Linked DNA regions of Neodiprion lecontei. The main gene of each other region encodes a partner of the protein of the gene in region 2 in a complex. Links are inferred from orthologs where the notes say so. Each region holds a gene or a part of one and is shown on either strand. Other genes may lie near its edges.

Region 1 (8,805 bases), on a different chromosome or scaffold from region 2:
TAAATGTTATGTAATCTACACTAAAATGTATCATAATGTGTGAACAGCGATACCACTGATTAATATAAATGAAATGTAACTAACCATTGAGAAATCTAAATGACTCATGTCAATATCCGGCAAAGCAGGGGCAGCGAATGACATTGAAACAGACGACTGATCCTGTACGTCCTTATATTTCTATGTTAGAAAGATCAGTCACAGCCCAACCCAGGAAGCGATTTATATGCAATATAAAAATATTAAAGTTAGAGTTTAGATAGCAAATGAAAGATATAAATATGAAAATACAAACCAGTTTATGCATAAGGCTTACATTAAATCTATTGTACTCACGAATTAATAATTTGGCCGTTTATTAGGTATAGCTGGTATTAGTGACTAGACATTTGGTTAAACGTGATTTAATCCACACTATCACATATTTGTCACTTGCTCGTATCACATGTTCGGCTCCTGCCGAATGGGTTTCTCTTCCTTTCTACCCGTCAACGACTCCTTTATAATATATCCACATCCCACGAACACGAGCCCGTCGGCAACTGATTTAAACTAACAGTAATCAAATTTTCCAACCACAACTCGCCGAGTGACTGCGGCCGAGAATGCGTCACCGACAGCTACGGTCGCGACGTGATGACGTCGGTACGATTAATCTGTTCGAAATTGTTGCCGGGCGACTCGAACGAGCATATACCTATATATCCCTGAGGAAGTCCTCCTGAGAGTACCATAGTAATTAGACAACATAGCGCGTCATACGGCTGAGTCGTTATCCGATCACATTCATATTTCGCAACAACCCGACCTCCGATCTTGGTGTGATATATCAATTCCTCGTGTATGGACAGAGCAGCGCGGTCACGTGACTCAAAACAGCTGTGGAAGCTGTGGAAGGGGAGCCGTGATTCACAATCGAAATCACTTGAAATCATGATCATCGAGCTTAGATAGATCGTTGACTGAAGACGCTTTTTCCAAAACAGCGTTGTGATTAAGGAGAAATATTTCGAACGATTTCATTTTCATCATTCCTTAAAATTTTCCAGATTAGCTGGTTAATAAATGTTTTGAAACAAAATACGACGCTTTTTTTACGAGTACACCAATGCGCGGGACGAAAGATATTCGAATCTACCGCTAACGAATTTTACGATAAACGTAGGTAAAAATCAAATGGTTATCGGATAATTGATCGGCAATTAGCGTACTTAGATATTTAAATATTCCGAAAAGCTGATTAATGTACATTAATTGTCCCGTATATTCTTATTACAAAGACAAGCCAACCCTTTACACGGAGATATAATTTGGCTTGATGTATTTTCAACGAACGTAGAGATGATTGACTTTATTATCAGTATAGATATAAACTATTTCAAAATAGTTACAATTTCCAATAAAAACATTAGCTTATTGTTAAATGATAAATGTATCGTACCATACATATAATACAACAATTATACAATATGTTGTAAATACGTATAAATATAAACTGCATTTGTACTGCAGCTTATGAAGAATCAATAAAATATTGAAAAAATAAAGAACTTACAAGCTATTCTATTGAAAAATGAAATAAAAAGATTGCGCAAGTCGCATTCTTTCCAAGATTTTGATGTTCAAATAGTATCCAGCTAGTTTTAATTAAAAAGAATGTTATCGCTCGATTCATTTCTGTTTACGTTACAAAATTACAATAAACTACGTCCTATAAATATCGGCATTACTCAATCTATCTATTACAATTCGTTTCCTAGAGCCAATACAAGATTTGGATCAGAGGTACTTTGATTTACATATGCGTATAAAATAAAAAATATTTCCTGATTGGCTCTACTGGTTTTAATATTAAAATCAGGTAGCCTCAAACAAACTAATACCACTATTAAGTGTACACGATATTCTAGAGATAATATTACACTATCGAAAATAATCAGTTTATGGAAATACGCGTCTCAGAGTTCGACTTACCGAATAACATATACATATACTATTATGAAACTACCTTCGATTCACGGCAAGCTTAGACAGTAAGAAAATACTCGCAATCCTTGTTTATTTCCAAGCATCGTTATTGCTGTGCTTGACCCATTTTATACACATCGTGATAAGCATTACGTATTAACGCATATGGGAAACAGCTCTCCAATAAATCCATGGTTAGAAAGGGTGATTCTTGAACGATCTGATCGAGGAGAAGGTACACAGATTCTCTATTCTTTGTTGCCTCTTTGTCTGCCTCCTGCCCTAATCTCAAAAGACTGGATGATGCCAGTGCCAAGAACTCCTTCATTCTGTCTTCAATGTCGTTTTGACCACATATCGTGAACAGTGCACCGAATATATTGTTTATGGCAGTGGCCATGCAATGTATATTGTTAGAATGCCCCTCCAATGAAGCCCTATAGAACGAGTTTTCGTTGCGAGCTAATTTCGGAATGGAAACAGCGACGAATACCATTAACAAACAGACTAAAAGATGCTCGTCTTCATCTGCTTCAGCTTTTTGACTCCTCAAAGCTGCTGCTAGGGTTGGATCAACTTTGCACGTCAGCCCCGCAGCAGATGTCATTTCGGAAACAATCCTCATCGGATCGCCCGAAGGCAAGTGGTGCCGAAAGTCTAATATAGAGCTGAGCAAAAATGGAATCCGCTCCTCCAAAACGTCGACCAAAGCTGCCTGGGCTAATTGTCTGAAGCTCAAAATCACCCCAACTATTGTAACCCTTTGAAGAACATTGTCGACTTGCTGTAGCCTTTTGAATTGTTCCTTCATCACTTCAGGCTTATCAAAATTCGTTCTCAATGCAACTAAGACGTCCTTATTACCAGCTACTAATTTTTTCAGTTCTTGCACCTGACTCGCGATGTGCCACATCAGTGTTTCATTCAACATTTTCATACCGTAAGGTCCAATCAGTTCGGCAAGAGCCCTGAGTTCGTTGATATCAGAAAATTCCTCAGCGTTGAAGGGAATCGCACTCTCGGCTGTGAGGCTGACGAATGCTCTTTGATTTCCTGAATAGCAAATGTTTCCTGCGCTTACTCGTCTCAACAACACTTCGGAGTACCACTGCATGTACAACGAAGCTATAGTTTTGTCCCCGTGGCTATCGAGCTGTTGAGTTTGTTGCAACAAAGCATTATTAAAAACTCTAGTTATATCGATGTGAACGTAGTTTTCGACAGTTTGCAATACATTCATGTAAGCTCTAACGCTGACAAATAACTCTGATGGTTTAGCAATGACGCTAGTATCCGGATTGAACATCACCATACCAACTAAAGCTTTGGCGAATCGTGTTTCCAAGTGTTGATGTAAGTACTCCCTAGGAGCAAATGTATATTCCCACACATTGATGGTGGGGCAAGAATTTATTGCGAAACACAATTCTGTTAGAGCCATGTGAAGTTTGTCCATTGTCGTAAGGTCTTCTCGCGTTTTTCTGTAGCTTTCAATACCGGGTTTATGAATCTCGTACATATTTTTCTTGTTCTTATCTTTTTTCTTGCGATTCACTACTTGAGATATTTGCGCTGCACAGTGCTTAGGCAGAAGCTTATCTGACATTGTACACTGCTCGTCGCAAATTATGGTTATTATATTTTTAGCCTCTTTGGCCATTTCGTCCAAAAACATGTTAACAACAGACAGACTTCTTTCTCTGATATGATGACGTTCTTCGGGGCAAAGTTCATGCGTACAGCTTTGAAAATGGCTACACATCAATGGAAAAGCAACAATGTATCGATTCTGGGCAGGAAATTCTAAACACATGTGAAATTGATCTTCGAATATCTTGCTGTAAAAGCAAAATATCGAGAGATCGGAAGTTTCCACCAACATCTCGTCTAAATTGTCAACCATTTTGGTGTGAAAAATAATACCGTCCATAAACGAAGCCAATTCCCTGTTATCCGCGAGATTCATATTGCACTTTGCAACCGACATATAAGCCTGCAATCTAAACCAGTCAAGCCTGAATGCACGAAAATCAAACAACTCGTTATCCTCGACCTGTTTTACTGTTAAACTCGCAATTGAAGAGCACATGTCGCTCAGAATGGCTCCTTCATCCTCAGGACACACAGGCAAATTTTGTATCATTTGATGCAGAGCTGGTGCGTCAAATCCAGCCAAAAATTGGACGTAATATCGTTGCAGGACTTGGGAATACTTTCTAACAAGAGCGCGCAATTCCTCGCAGTGAAACAAGAGTTCAGGGAGCTGCCTGTCGACGAGGTCATCGCCTCCACGACCCTTTCCTTTTCCCTGAATAGGTGGATTGTCACCGTGTCTCAAGAGCCACAGCACCTCGTCTCGGGCATGAGATAATCCCATGAACACTAGCAGAGCTTTTGGGCCCAAGAGCCCTGGATGATCGGATAATATCAGCCCCAACTCCTTCAGGGCTGTTCTCAAAAATTTTCGCCTTTCTCGATGCCTGTGTCCAGCTTTCTGAATGGCTTGACTGTAGCAGTCCTTCACTTCAGATACTCTCTTGCTGTACCCTTTCATGCTTTCAAAAAACGACTGAATGTATTGGTGAATATATATGACTTCGTCTCTAAACAGAGCTAAAACCCATCCTGATTCGAGGGCGGTGGTCCATAGTTTACTGGGTTGCTCCTGGTTGAGGACCGTGTGACAAAGAGTGAAACCGAGGACAACCCATCTTTCTAATCTATCTAAGCTCAACGTTTCACAGGACATCGTGTCCGTAACGGCAGCTTTAAGCAGCTGCCCTGGACTACCGACGAGGCTAAGTTTCTTGTCGGCTCTCCATGTGTCTGCCGATAAATTTCTTCCAGGGTAAATTGGCCACAGCGACATCAGCGCATTTATCAGTAATTTACCATGCGGCACAAACTCTTCGGACAATTTCTTGAGCGGCGCATCGTAGTCCATGATCATCTGGCCTAGTCTCGGAAAGCTGGGATCTGACTGGCTGTGGACCATTTCGTGGGCCGCGTTGAACAGGCCTAAGACAGCTTTTCGATCCTCAACTCTGGACAGAAGTATCATCAGGCTTACGTAGGTGATTACCAGGTCCAGGTAGCCCTTTGTCACGTCAAAATTTATCGTTATGTCCATGTGAACTCCGCAAGCGTCCATCGTAGTCAGCAGTTCACAGACGTTGTCCTTGAAGTCAAGAAGGTCAACAAAGGTGTAGTAGTAGAGGGACAGAGACTTGATAATCTCGGTGCGAAGGTTCGTTATCGCAGCCAGTCCCTTGATGTCGATATTGGGAAATCTTCGGATTATGTATTTAATCGCAGACTCCAACGTTTTGTCGGACAGAAACGCAGGCTTGGATTTGGCATCGCCGCATGCTTTTTTTATGTTGTAAATACGAGTAAGCATACCGGTGCCTCTGTCGTTCAATATAGCCAGTTTCTCAGCCAGCTTCTGCTGGCTAGGAATAATTGGTCGCGCCATATTCGTGGCCTGCTTGTCAATGAACGGCGGTGAATCAGTAGAATCGCCTCATAATTTATTGAACCAAGTGTCAACTGTGTTTCCGGATGACAGGAGACCCCACCCAGGGGTAGCTTGTAGGCTTGACAGGATTTCCAACGTAATTTCGGCGCACAGCGATTTCTGAAATATAACTGATCGATTATACTAACTCGAGTGAGCTTTTTTGACGGTTGTACAACGAAGTGAAATGTTTTCTTACCAAATTTATCATTTCATTGCAACATTGTCACAAAATTATTAACACCCACTACACATCGATGTGTAAACTTACTCACCACTTTAAGTTATCAGTCCTTAAACTCAGCTGCGGCGCTCTCTTGTTCACTGCATCCAACTGCTGTGTGGGGAAATATTCCTCACTAGGTTCCTCAATCTCGCGCAGGCAGTCGGTATGAATCGCTTTTACCAACCGAGAGAAGGGGCAAACCATATGACCATACCGAATACGTTAATGAGAGTATTTTGAAGACAAAATCCATCACGCGTCAAAAAGTGCACAGTGCAATTCCATATTACGGCGTATCACAGAGTATTGTTATGTAACTGTGGATATGCTACATCTTTACGTATTTTTCCGCCTTATGAACTCGCAGTGAAATAGTATCCGCCTGAGCATAGGCAATTCACATTACTTCCATAAGTTCGCAATCAGAAGTTTGTCTTGTAACTGGATTCGAGTCCATGCGTTCTCAACAAAGCTTGTAATTATTAATTGTTTACTTTCGCACACAAATATTGAGCGGGTTTAAGTTTCCATTGTACACATAGCACTACTGTTGTTCACTGACTCGTTTCTAACTGGTCTTTAAAGCTTGGTCGATGTGGTCAGTTGTCTGTACACAAGAGGATCTTCTATCCCGTTGTTCCGCCACGCCGCACGCTGGCTTTAAGATTTCAGTAGCTGGTGTGAAAAAAGTGAATAATATTTTATGACAATAATAAAAAAAAAAATCAAAAATTCACCAGAATGTTCATACCAAAACGTGATTGAAATACTCGGACATAAAATAGAAACGAATCGAGGAAAGGGTTTTTAGGAATCACAAGAACATCCGTTGAAAAATCTTATTGGCATTGTTATGTACAAAAATTAGATGAATGAATCTTTATACAAAGATGTGAAGAATGAAAAGCTTGAGAAAAAAATATACGCACTCCATTGAGGTGAAATTATTTTTGCTATTTCCCTAAATGAATTTCAGAGACACGAAAAAGATGTTGAAGTAAAACCCTTCTGGCAACGTACAGGTCCGTCATATGTGTTGTGATGGTGCTGAGAGAATACTGGTTGCAGAAATAAATATTATTATTCATGAGCAGCAAGATCGATTTCTAAGCCTACTGCAATAAATCTGAATATAGTTTCCATGCAAGTTCTGCGTTATAGGGATGGGTTCTCAGCTGCCGGGCCTTAGCGTGTTAAAGTTTCAAGCCACAGCTCCATGCACCTTACGCTACGGTATTACCGTACATTAAGAACCTCTACAGAAATTACCTACGTATATCCGTATATAGGCGCTGGCTTCCCTATGGCCTCGTTCATCGAATATCGACGTGCCAGAAACCTATTAAAACCGGCACAAATATATTACAATCCGTTCACTACTCCCTAACCAACCAGCAATCGAGAGACGTCCGAGTACAGTAACAACGATCGCTGCCGCACGTTTAAATCGTTGAAACTATATCGTATGTTCTATACTTGAAATTTTCCGCGCAAGTGTGGACATATGAAATTGCAAGACATATTGCGGTTACTGACTTCGATTTTATTACCAGAAGTACGATTTATGGTAACGATCGAACGAGATTGATTGGCTGCGGTATTTAAAAATTATTATAGCAATTTTGCTTTCTCGTTAATCAGTTTTTTTTCTTTCCTGACGATGTTTCAATTACTCTAAATTACTTTGCACTACTCATTTTTTCCCATAAGTACACATTCCATCGTACATGTATACTAATTTAGTGAAAATTTTTCCACATCTCTAGTTTCCTGTTTAATCCATGTTGACGTGACTCGGACAGGTAGATTTTCATTCGGAGCAATCACAAAATTCACGGAGCATTAACCTTGGCTAGGGGGGAAGATAGGAGAATGAGGGGAAAGGGTGAGGGATGTTAAGGGTTCGTAGTTGCCGGCTGGAGGAGGATAGGGGGAGAGGAGGAGAGGTTGCACTATCTGCAGATCCATGCTATTTGCGCAAAGTGGCCTCCACCCTGAAACCACCTACGTTTAGGTGGTTGGGAGGGTAATACATTGTTTGCTCTTCGTTCACTAAACTAAACCGCATTCGGAATTAATTGCACGTTAGGAGGCCGCGGGATAATTAAACCCGTTTGCTTACCCGTTTCCCGGCTGCATCCTATCTGGTTTGTTGCATTTTTCAACCGGACATCTTGTCCCGAAAAATCTGATCCAACACGCTTTACTTCTAATTAGGAGCAACGGCCAGATGCAGTTGTATGCAGCGTAGGATTTCCATAAGTTTTACCGTGTGAAATAGAATTTCATTCTTTGAATCATGCGATGTATCAAATAATTATTTGCTGCATCAGTAATTCCGATAATGAGCGTTCTGCGAAGAAAAAATATACCACGCGGTTCAGGGACATTTATAAAATGTAGAAGTTTTCACCCTTGCAGTTCACTGGACCCTGGATCTTATACAGTATAGAAAACGGTTGAACGGTTTTCGCGTTATAGCGTCGATGACATCGTAGTCGGATAATCTTCGCCCAGAGCGAAGTTGCAGTCTGAAGGGTTGGCTTTCCGACAGCAACGATCGGGGGATTATTACAGAACCCGATGTAGGAAGCTGCGACACAGATTTCGATTTCATGACGTTCCGTCTGGTTGTTAGGGCAGCAGACACAGTCAAAGAGTCGGATATCGACGCATCGATCTTGAACGGTGCGGCTTCGGGATGGCTGGTGCGGACTAGGCAAGAGAGGATCCAAGAGGGTGATGGGGCTCAGGAAGGGGTGGTCCCGACGCGTCAGCACTTTAGTCTCGTTAATGACGTCATTTACCAGTCTCGGGGCGCCGACCGGCGAGCGTAAAGGAGATGTCCAGTGTCGGCTATCTCTTCTCCTATACGGTATACGTATATAGTTATTCGCTGTTTTTTTCAACCCCCGTTCGCAGCTCCTCCTCTTCTTCTTTCTCTTCGCAGGAGAGAATCACCCTTTGGCCATTTGGCCGCTTCGTTCCACGGCACATACGTATTTGTAAAAGCTTCACCCCTACCTTCTTTATGCAGACAGTCCATGGCCCGTACTCGGCCACAGTCCATAGGATATTGCCTGTATATACGCCG
Region 2 (7,568 bases):
CTTCTTGTGACAAAGCTTGCTCCATTAATAGACAGAATAATATAGTGTTGCCAAATTCGCGAAAGTTGTGAAACAGTTCAGTCTTTGCATCAGGATACTGAACAATGTCGTTCAACTGGGCATGGTAGTAGCCTAAAACACCTGGAGATCCGTAATCATATCTCGGGAGTTTACACACTTTTGGCATTGCTTCCATTAGGGTCTTAGTAAACTGCAGGAGGTTTCCTTGGATGAGAGATTTCACTATTTTTAATAATTCTTCCATGACTACAGCAATCCCTTGATATCCAAGAAGTTTGCACATTGTACGGAAGTGGTATGAGCCAACAAAGCCCGTGTATTGACCATACTGAGTGCTATATGCAAGATTTAATTGTTTACTGCCCCATAAATAATGGTAAGACATCATAGGTGGCTTATCTCTGTGCACCGGTTGTGCAAATTGAAGACCTCGACATTTGACAAATCTGTTGAAGGAAATACGAAATAATGACAACATGTTCGTAAGGTAATATTCGCAACATTGATATGAATATACCTATTTGTGGCAGCATTGTAACAGTAATTTGGCAAGAAGTCATAATTTAGCTCCCAAAATACGTGAAGAGTAATTCTACCATATGGGGCAAGAACGTTGTGATTAGCTTCTCTGAACATTGCATCATATTCATCCAATGCCAACCATTTGCTCAAAAGTTTATGAGTGAGGCGGTTGACTTGTAGCAAACCTTCTAATTCCTACACAATAAAAAGTTTGGTATAAAGAGCAGTCGATCAGCTAGAAAAATGTGATAATTGACTCGCAAAACTTTGGCTTACCACAACACCTGTAATATCACCAGATTCGAATTTGCTAACAGCCAAATCCAAAGATTTTTGCATATCAGCATTGATTCGTTGTGTGATCAACTTATTGAGATCAATGCTTCTTCCTAACAGTTGTACGTGCCGTTGTTTTAATAATGTTTCATATCTGTTTGCTCGAGGATATGGCAGTAAGTAAGCCCCAAGAGCAACGCATTCAACGCGAAATCTCTTATCAAGCAAAATGCTGGCTGCCAATTGCTTGTAATGAGCGAAAATTTGTTCACTTAGCTTGTAGACGAATTGGTCAAAGCATAGGTTTACTTCTGCCTCAACTTCATCATAAAGGAATTGCTTTCGAAATATTGTTAACGCGTATAATGCACTGTCGTTGTACAGATCCAAAGGGTACAATACGAATCTGGAATTTAAAAGCATGAACAGTTGACGTAGGTCAATGATTAATTTCAAAGACAAAATCTACTGGAAATTTTACAGTAATCTCACTCACTCCATCATTGAAGGTTCTTTGCTTCTAAGAATATGGTCAGTCAGGATCCATGGCATCGACATTTCAATCGGGAACTGGAACATAAAAATTCATTTAATTTAACTTTAAATGGTGTTTCTAATCCAATGTTAGTAACATTTTGCACACAAAATAAAAGAAAGATTAATTTATAGTGGCAAAGACAGCACAGCAACCAACACGAAATGATGCAAGCTAAAAAATCAAGATCTACGTCCAAGAATTATTGTGTAGAGCCTTGGCACAGTACGTATTATCATTTCATTTAAAATCACTGTACATTATAATATTTAATGTATGTATACGGAGTTGCAGATGAGTATTCAAATTAATCTATTTTTAAAATCATCCACTTCGTTATACCTACTATTACCTCAAATAGCATAACAATCACATTACTTGTTTGGATAATTCTTCTTGCAGTAAACTTTTGTCAATAGAAATAAGATACCATGAACGCATGTACGAAGCAGAAAATTTGATCAAGCAATCACCCATTTTGAGTCAGAGGTATAATAATTGGTTTATTCAAATTAAATTACTATTACTTATGGTATTTCCCAGTGAGGCGTGCAATTCCAACAAAAAACGGTACTAGAAAACGAACGCAACAATAACAATAACGTAGCTACAACAGATGGTGGTTACTTGGTGTGTACCTGAATGCGTTTCTCCATGGTGATCAAGTCGCTGCATTCTTCATTATGCTGATGACGCACTTGGCATTTCTATTCATGAAATCAATTACACACGGTTCTATTTGTCTGATATTGTGAAGGTCATGAACATCTACTAACATTGAATATATTGTGTAGGTCTAGTGAATCGATACCAGTATTTTATCAACTATAATTAAACAGAATGGTGACTGACTCTTTAAAAATAGTCAATTATGGCACGTCGGCTTTCAAATCGCGTGATTAATTATTAGGTCTTGTTATATAGTAGTTTTCTAATATTTATGTTTACCTGAATCCTCCGGCCCATGGTCATCTCAAGGTAGAATTCACGGTACCAGAGTTGTGATAGATCACAGCAGTTCTGCAATGACTCTGGAATAAGAGTTATTAATTGACAGTAAAAAGGTAAAATGATAACAATATACGTTTTGTAGTTCAAAATATGAAATGATACAGCGTGTACATACAGTTGTACATACGAGTGACTTACCGCTAAAACTAAGCAAGTAATTCCAGTAAAAACTTGTTTTATGAAATTGATCGATCTGCACGAGATATTGCCCATCTATATCCTTTCTCAGCGTTCTCTTACCTCCGCTCTTATCTGCAATTAGTGACTCCAACATCGTACGTACCATGTACAATTGAGTCGATGATGGACCTTCAAACAATTCGGAATAAATCTCATTATGTGTACAATGGCCACGAATCAATATCTTAGTAATATTTATAATTGCAAAAAAATGTGTGAACCAAACTTACCAACATTTCTTCTTGGAACTTTAATGACAAAACCATTGTCTGGATCTTTTTTGCCCTTTAAAGCTGGGTCCGCTACAGGTTCAACGCCTTTTTGCCAATCTGCACAAGTCTCTCGGACCGATACAATTATACTTCGAATCAAATCTTTTTTATTCTTGGTAGCCTTTCTGAGTGGTTCTCTTAAAATCAATTGTACAAAGTCCTGTAGTTCAGCGTAAATGTTTCTGCGTATAGCATCGATAAAGACAGTTTCCATGCGAGCCATCAGAACTTGCAGGCCCTTGATCATAGCTATAACTTCAATCAGAGCAAACTTTTCTTCATCTGTGTAATTGTATCGGGTTGCCTACAGAAATTGAACTTGTTATTCATTGACCTTGCTTGGATTGCAGGTAGTCGATTAATTATTAATACGACGGTTGGCTAAGAATGTGAAACATATTATCAATTTAATTTTAGAACTTTACCAACCCGTTCATACTCTTCAGCTTCTTGCGGACATTCTTTATTCATGTGATGGTCCGTAGGATGAAGTAATTTCCAGCTATACAGTTCTGTAACAACGCTGGTCCACTGCGATAACAGTTGTAATCCTCGCAATGCCAATTCAGCTGTTTCTCTATTTTCCCCATCACTTCCACACTCCTTATACGTTGTTGTTACTTCATTACTGTACCTGAACAGAAAGTTAAATGGATTATTATAAATACAAACGTAAGTATGAAGACTTTCCAAAATTGAATAATCGTGTACGTTCAGTGTTGATATTATGAGTAATACCTCGCCAATTCGCTGATGTATTTGACGTGATCTTCTCTGATTTGAGGAAGGTGTACCATAAGATCTGCTTGTGGACTCATACTGTTAGAAGAAGATGAAAGTGGCCACTTTGAAGAGTCGAAGTGCTTCGACCGTTTGATGTAATTGAAGGGAGCAATTTGCATATCTCCAAACAGTGGTACGACCTCCAAGTTTTTAAATATTCTATCAATCCTGTCTAGTTTCAACTTCTTTTTTTGATCCAACTTATTAATGTTACACAAGTCACTGTCCATCAGAAATAACCCAAAGCCCATGACCTTAACAAGCATGTGCTTTTCATTTGGTGTTAAATACATCTTCGTTTCGAACATGTGTACACAAATATTAACTACATCTGCTAGAAGCTCTTCATACCCAGCAATTTTCTCTAGATTTTCTTTTACGGTGTCACGAATTTTATTTTGCGTTGCCAGAAACAATGACAAATTCTGAGACTCTTGAAGAGTTTGCGAATCAGTCATTACTTTCAAAAACTGAGCAGCTCTGAAATAAAATAATGTAGTTGGTGATACAAATAAATTGTTAATATTGATTAGAGATTGTTCTCAACTTTTAACTGTTTACTTTTGCTTAAAGTATATATACCCATACCTTCTGTACGTTGAATAATCATTCTTAACACTCGATTTCATATTTTTTAATTCATCGAGAACAGCAAACATATTAATGAATTTTCCAAGAGTTAGTAGGTATGCTTCAGAGACAAAATCCTTTCGCTTCTCATGGTGACACAAGCGCTTAACTTCAGCAGAAAACCTTTCAATAGCTTTTCTCTGATTTAACAAAGAGAAATATGATTATAACTATTTTCCATTTTCATTTATGATGTATATTAAATTTGTAGCTTCTGTATTTTAGTTAGGATAAAAAATCACCCACTTGAAAATACATAAAGTTCAGCAACTTGTTCACTTCAGGTGCTAAGACCTCAACTGTTTTCTCATATATTTCAACACGATTTGGCTGCTCATTGGATTTTGGTTGAGGAATTGCTCGAGAACAACATCTCCAGGTATATAACATTACCGCATGCTCTAGACCTTCTTCGAGTAGTTCGTTCTGTAGGTAAAAAATAAAGAAAATAACAGTAATTATCCAACTATTATAGGGTTGATCATAATGTGAACTGAATAAATTTACCAAACTAGCGTGTACAGTTGCCTCTTCAATGTACTTGGCAATACCAGTGACAAACCCATTTCTATCTTCAAAATTTGTATCAAAATTAGCTTGATAAACAACGGAGCACGGTTGGGCTTCAATGCAAGGCTGCTCATCAGGCAGGGTAAATTCGTCGAGTACATCGACATTTGATAAAGCATCAGCCAATGTTACCTTATCGGTAGCCATTGCTGTGTTTTGCTATAGTCTAAAATTGAATTATAAAATAGGTGTAAAGCGTCAAATCGAAGGATTTAATATGTGTAAAGATTGCAGCTAAAGATTGCGCACATACAATTTCGGAAAAGTAGACTACATAAAATTTAGGTAGAACGTAGAGATTATTGTATTTTTTAATAGCAAGTTTGAAATACACTCGAATTATTTAACAGACGAGCTCTGTTTACTCTTGGGAAGATCAGTAAATGTCCTCTTTGTTGTCGAGGTTATATTTATAAGATGAGTAATCAAACAAGGAAATGAAAGTGGGAAATAATCATTTGGTTAACGTGATTAAAGACAAGCCAGTGTCAGGTATGTGAAATTTTTTATTTAATATTTCACGAATTTTATTCATAAGACATACCTTCACAATAATTTGTCACAGTTGAAAAAATTGACAACAAACGTCACCCGACAACTCCACCCCAAGGTAAAGAGTACTCAAGAGACTTCTGGGAAAAGTCATTGTTCCATGGGAATTTATCATTCCTACCAAACCCTGAGAAAAAAAGGCCCACGCGTAGCTGCATGGTGAAATGTAATTTAAACAGAGCAGCAGGAAGCAGTTCTACACGGACCGTTGGTGAGTATTGAAATACAGCTAATGATAAATATGGCACGGGAAGGAGGAAATTGATAAACCAGAACCTAGAGTTGGGTAAATTTTAAAATTTATTCGAAAGTCTTTTAGACGGATAATTAGATCTATATGTATAATAATAAACCTCTATTCTATATTACAAATAATTTACAATATGGATGACAATATAATTTTACAATTTTCAAAAAATTGCACATATTTTTTCATTTTTTTTTTTACCTGGCTCGGTTTCGATAGAGAATTCTATTGACTATTCATTCATTCTCGCACCAACAAATTAAATAGCAATAACAATTACGTTGAAATAATAATATAAAAGAAAAGTTGAAATTAATAGAATCTACAATGTTCAGGGATATCTCCAAATTTGTTATCTACAACTCGCTATATAAATATATATGTGTACTGCAGTTATCAAATTAATATGAAATTGTGTGCGCATATTAAATGATGAGGTAAATTAAAAAGTGAGAATATTTTCCAATAGCGTGAAAATTAAAAGAATCAAAAGTAATAAATTAGGAGTAGAGAAAATTAGAAATAAACGTATATTCAAATCAATAATAAATGAATTCAGTAATTAATTACTATTAAAATGTGCAACCTTAATAATATCACATTGAGAAACGTTACATGTGTGTAATTATAATAATAAAATGCGAGAGATAAAAGCGTTCCAAAAATATGGCTTTGATATCATCAAAGTAAATTTAAAACTAAGACCATGTTTTTCAAATTTCACACACCACAGGTCATGATGCTCATAGACTCATGAATTGCCCAATCAATATCGTAGACATATGCCCTACAATTTTCATGTATCTAAAAAAAGCATTGAATCTCTTTTAATTGTAATGTTCAAACTCAACGACTAAGTCTCATTTTTAGGATCTATTAGATTATCTTGGCCACGTGTGTTTATTCTTGCTTTACTAAATATAACTTTCTTGTTTGGTTTTCAACTACTCAATGAACATTGCTACGCAATCACCAACTGGTACACAGATAGAATCAAAATTTCACCAATGTACCTTGTTTAGCTCTACTGCTGGTATCTCAGAATTGATACCCACACGATAAACTGTTTTTTTTTTTTTTATAAAACTACTATGATCAGTAGTTCAAAATATGAGACATACAGACACGTGTTCATGTTTCAAACTTTCGTAATTAATTACATTCGTGATGGTTGTCATATAGTTCGATCCGTTGCACTTCTGGATATTTTTTCTATATACTGTCTAGTGTTAATAGCGGTTTATAATGCGTACCATCGGCCTCTATTCACACATCACACAATTAATGGCTAAAAAACTATTATTATCAACTATAGACAAAACCTAGTACACTCTGCAAACTATAAGTACAAATATTTGAATAACAACAAACAGTGTTGGAACAATATATCTCACACCCCTTGCACGTGCGTGGAAACAAAATAAACGAAATCAAACGAACCAGCAGCATGCTTTCAAAGTTGTACGTACACATTATCTTCTATAAGTGTATGTAGACGGATAATTGTTAATTAGGTTCTGAATGATTTTCGTTGCAATGCACAACAAAAAATTTTCCTGAAAATTTATTCCGAATAAAATCAACAAAAACTGTTCTATATTTGCGTTACATTCCCCAGATATGGTCGAAAAATATCGCGATAAATGGCAAGAATCGTTAATAGGTACATCAAAGTAGATTTTTTAGTAACGATCACGCTGTCACTACTGAAAACTGTAATATTATAAAAGTGATTCTGCTTAGGTGATATGGTTTTCGACTAAAAATATTAGATATAGTGGCTTGAATTTGGCTCTTTAGTTTTATGAATTCTCTGTTGTGATCCGTTCGTGAATAAAATATACAAAAAAACAGTTTTACTGTACTTTCCGGAAAATTGTTTCAAATGAGAAAATTTACTGCTTGCATTTTTCAAGTGAATTTCTGTACTAAATGATTCCACAATTTCGTCTATAAAAAATTATCAGTA

Evidence for each region.
Region 1: cytoplasmic FMR1-interacting protein (region 2) and membrane-associated protein Hem share a complex: the UniProt entries of both Drosophila melanogaster proteins name them as parts of the WAVE complex. The link is inferred for Neodiprion lecontei from reciprocal best matches to the Drosophila melanogaster genes Cyfip and Hem.

The regions. Positions count from the first base shown.
Region 1 is NC_060262.1:26,025,347-26,034,151, forward strand, and holds membrane-associated protein Hem, read right to left. Parts: upstream 5,859-8,805; 5' UTR 5,761-5,858; exon of another isoform or gene 5,685-5,760; intron 5,617-5,684; exon of another isoform or gene 5,606-5,616; 5' UTR 5,444-5,605; coding exon 2,075-5,443; 3' UTR 2,071-2,074; downstream 1-2,070. UniProt on the Drosophila melanogaster protein: Plays a role during growth of the oocyte.
Region 2 is NC_060265.1:7,519,364-7,526,931, forward strand, and holds the start of cytoplasmic FMR1-interacting protein, read right to left. Parts: upstream 5,439-7,568; 5' UTR 5,345-5,438; intron 4,967-5,344; 5' UTR 4,948-4,966; coding exon 4,738-4,947; intron 4,657-4,737; coding exon 4,477-4,656; intron 4,371-4,476; coding exon 4,189-4,370; intron 4,081-4,188; coding exon 3,556-4,080; intron 3,452-3,555; coding exon 3,247-3,451; intron 3,122-3,246; coding exon 2,776-3,121; intron 2,675-2,775; coding exon 2,504-2,674; intron 2,386-2,503; coding exon 2,303-2,385; intron 2,062-2,302; coding exon 1,993-2,061; intron 1,390-1,992; coding exon 1,316-1,389; intron 1,226-1,315; coding exon 820-1,225; intron 739-819; coding exon 539-738; intron 468-538; coding exon 1-467. UniProt on the Drosophila melanogaster protein: Plays a role in guidance and morphology of central and peripheral axons and in synaptic morphology. Also required for formation of cell membrane protrusions and for bristle development.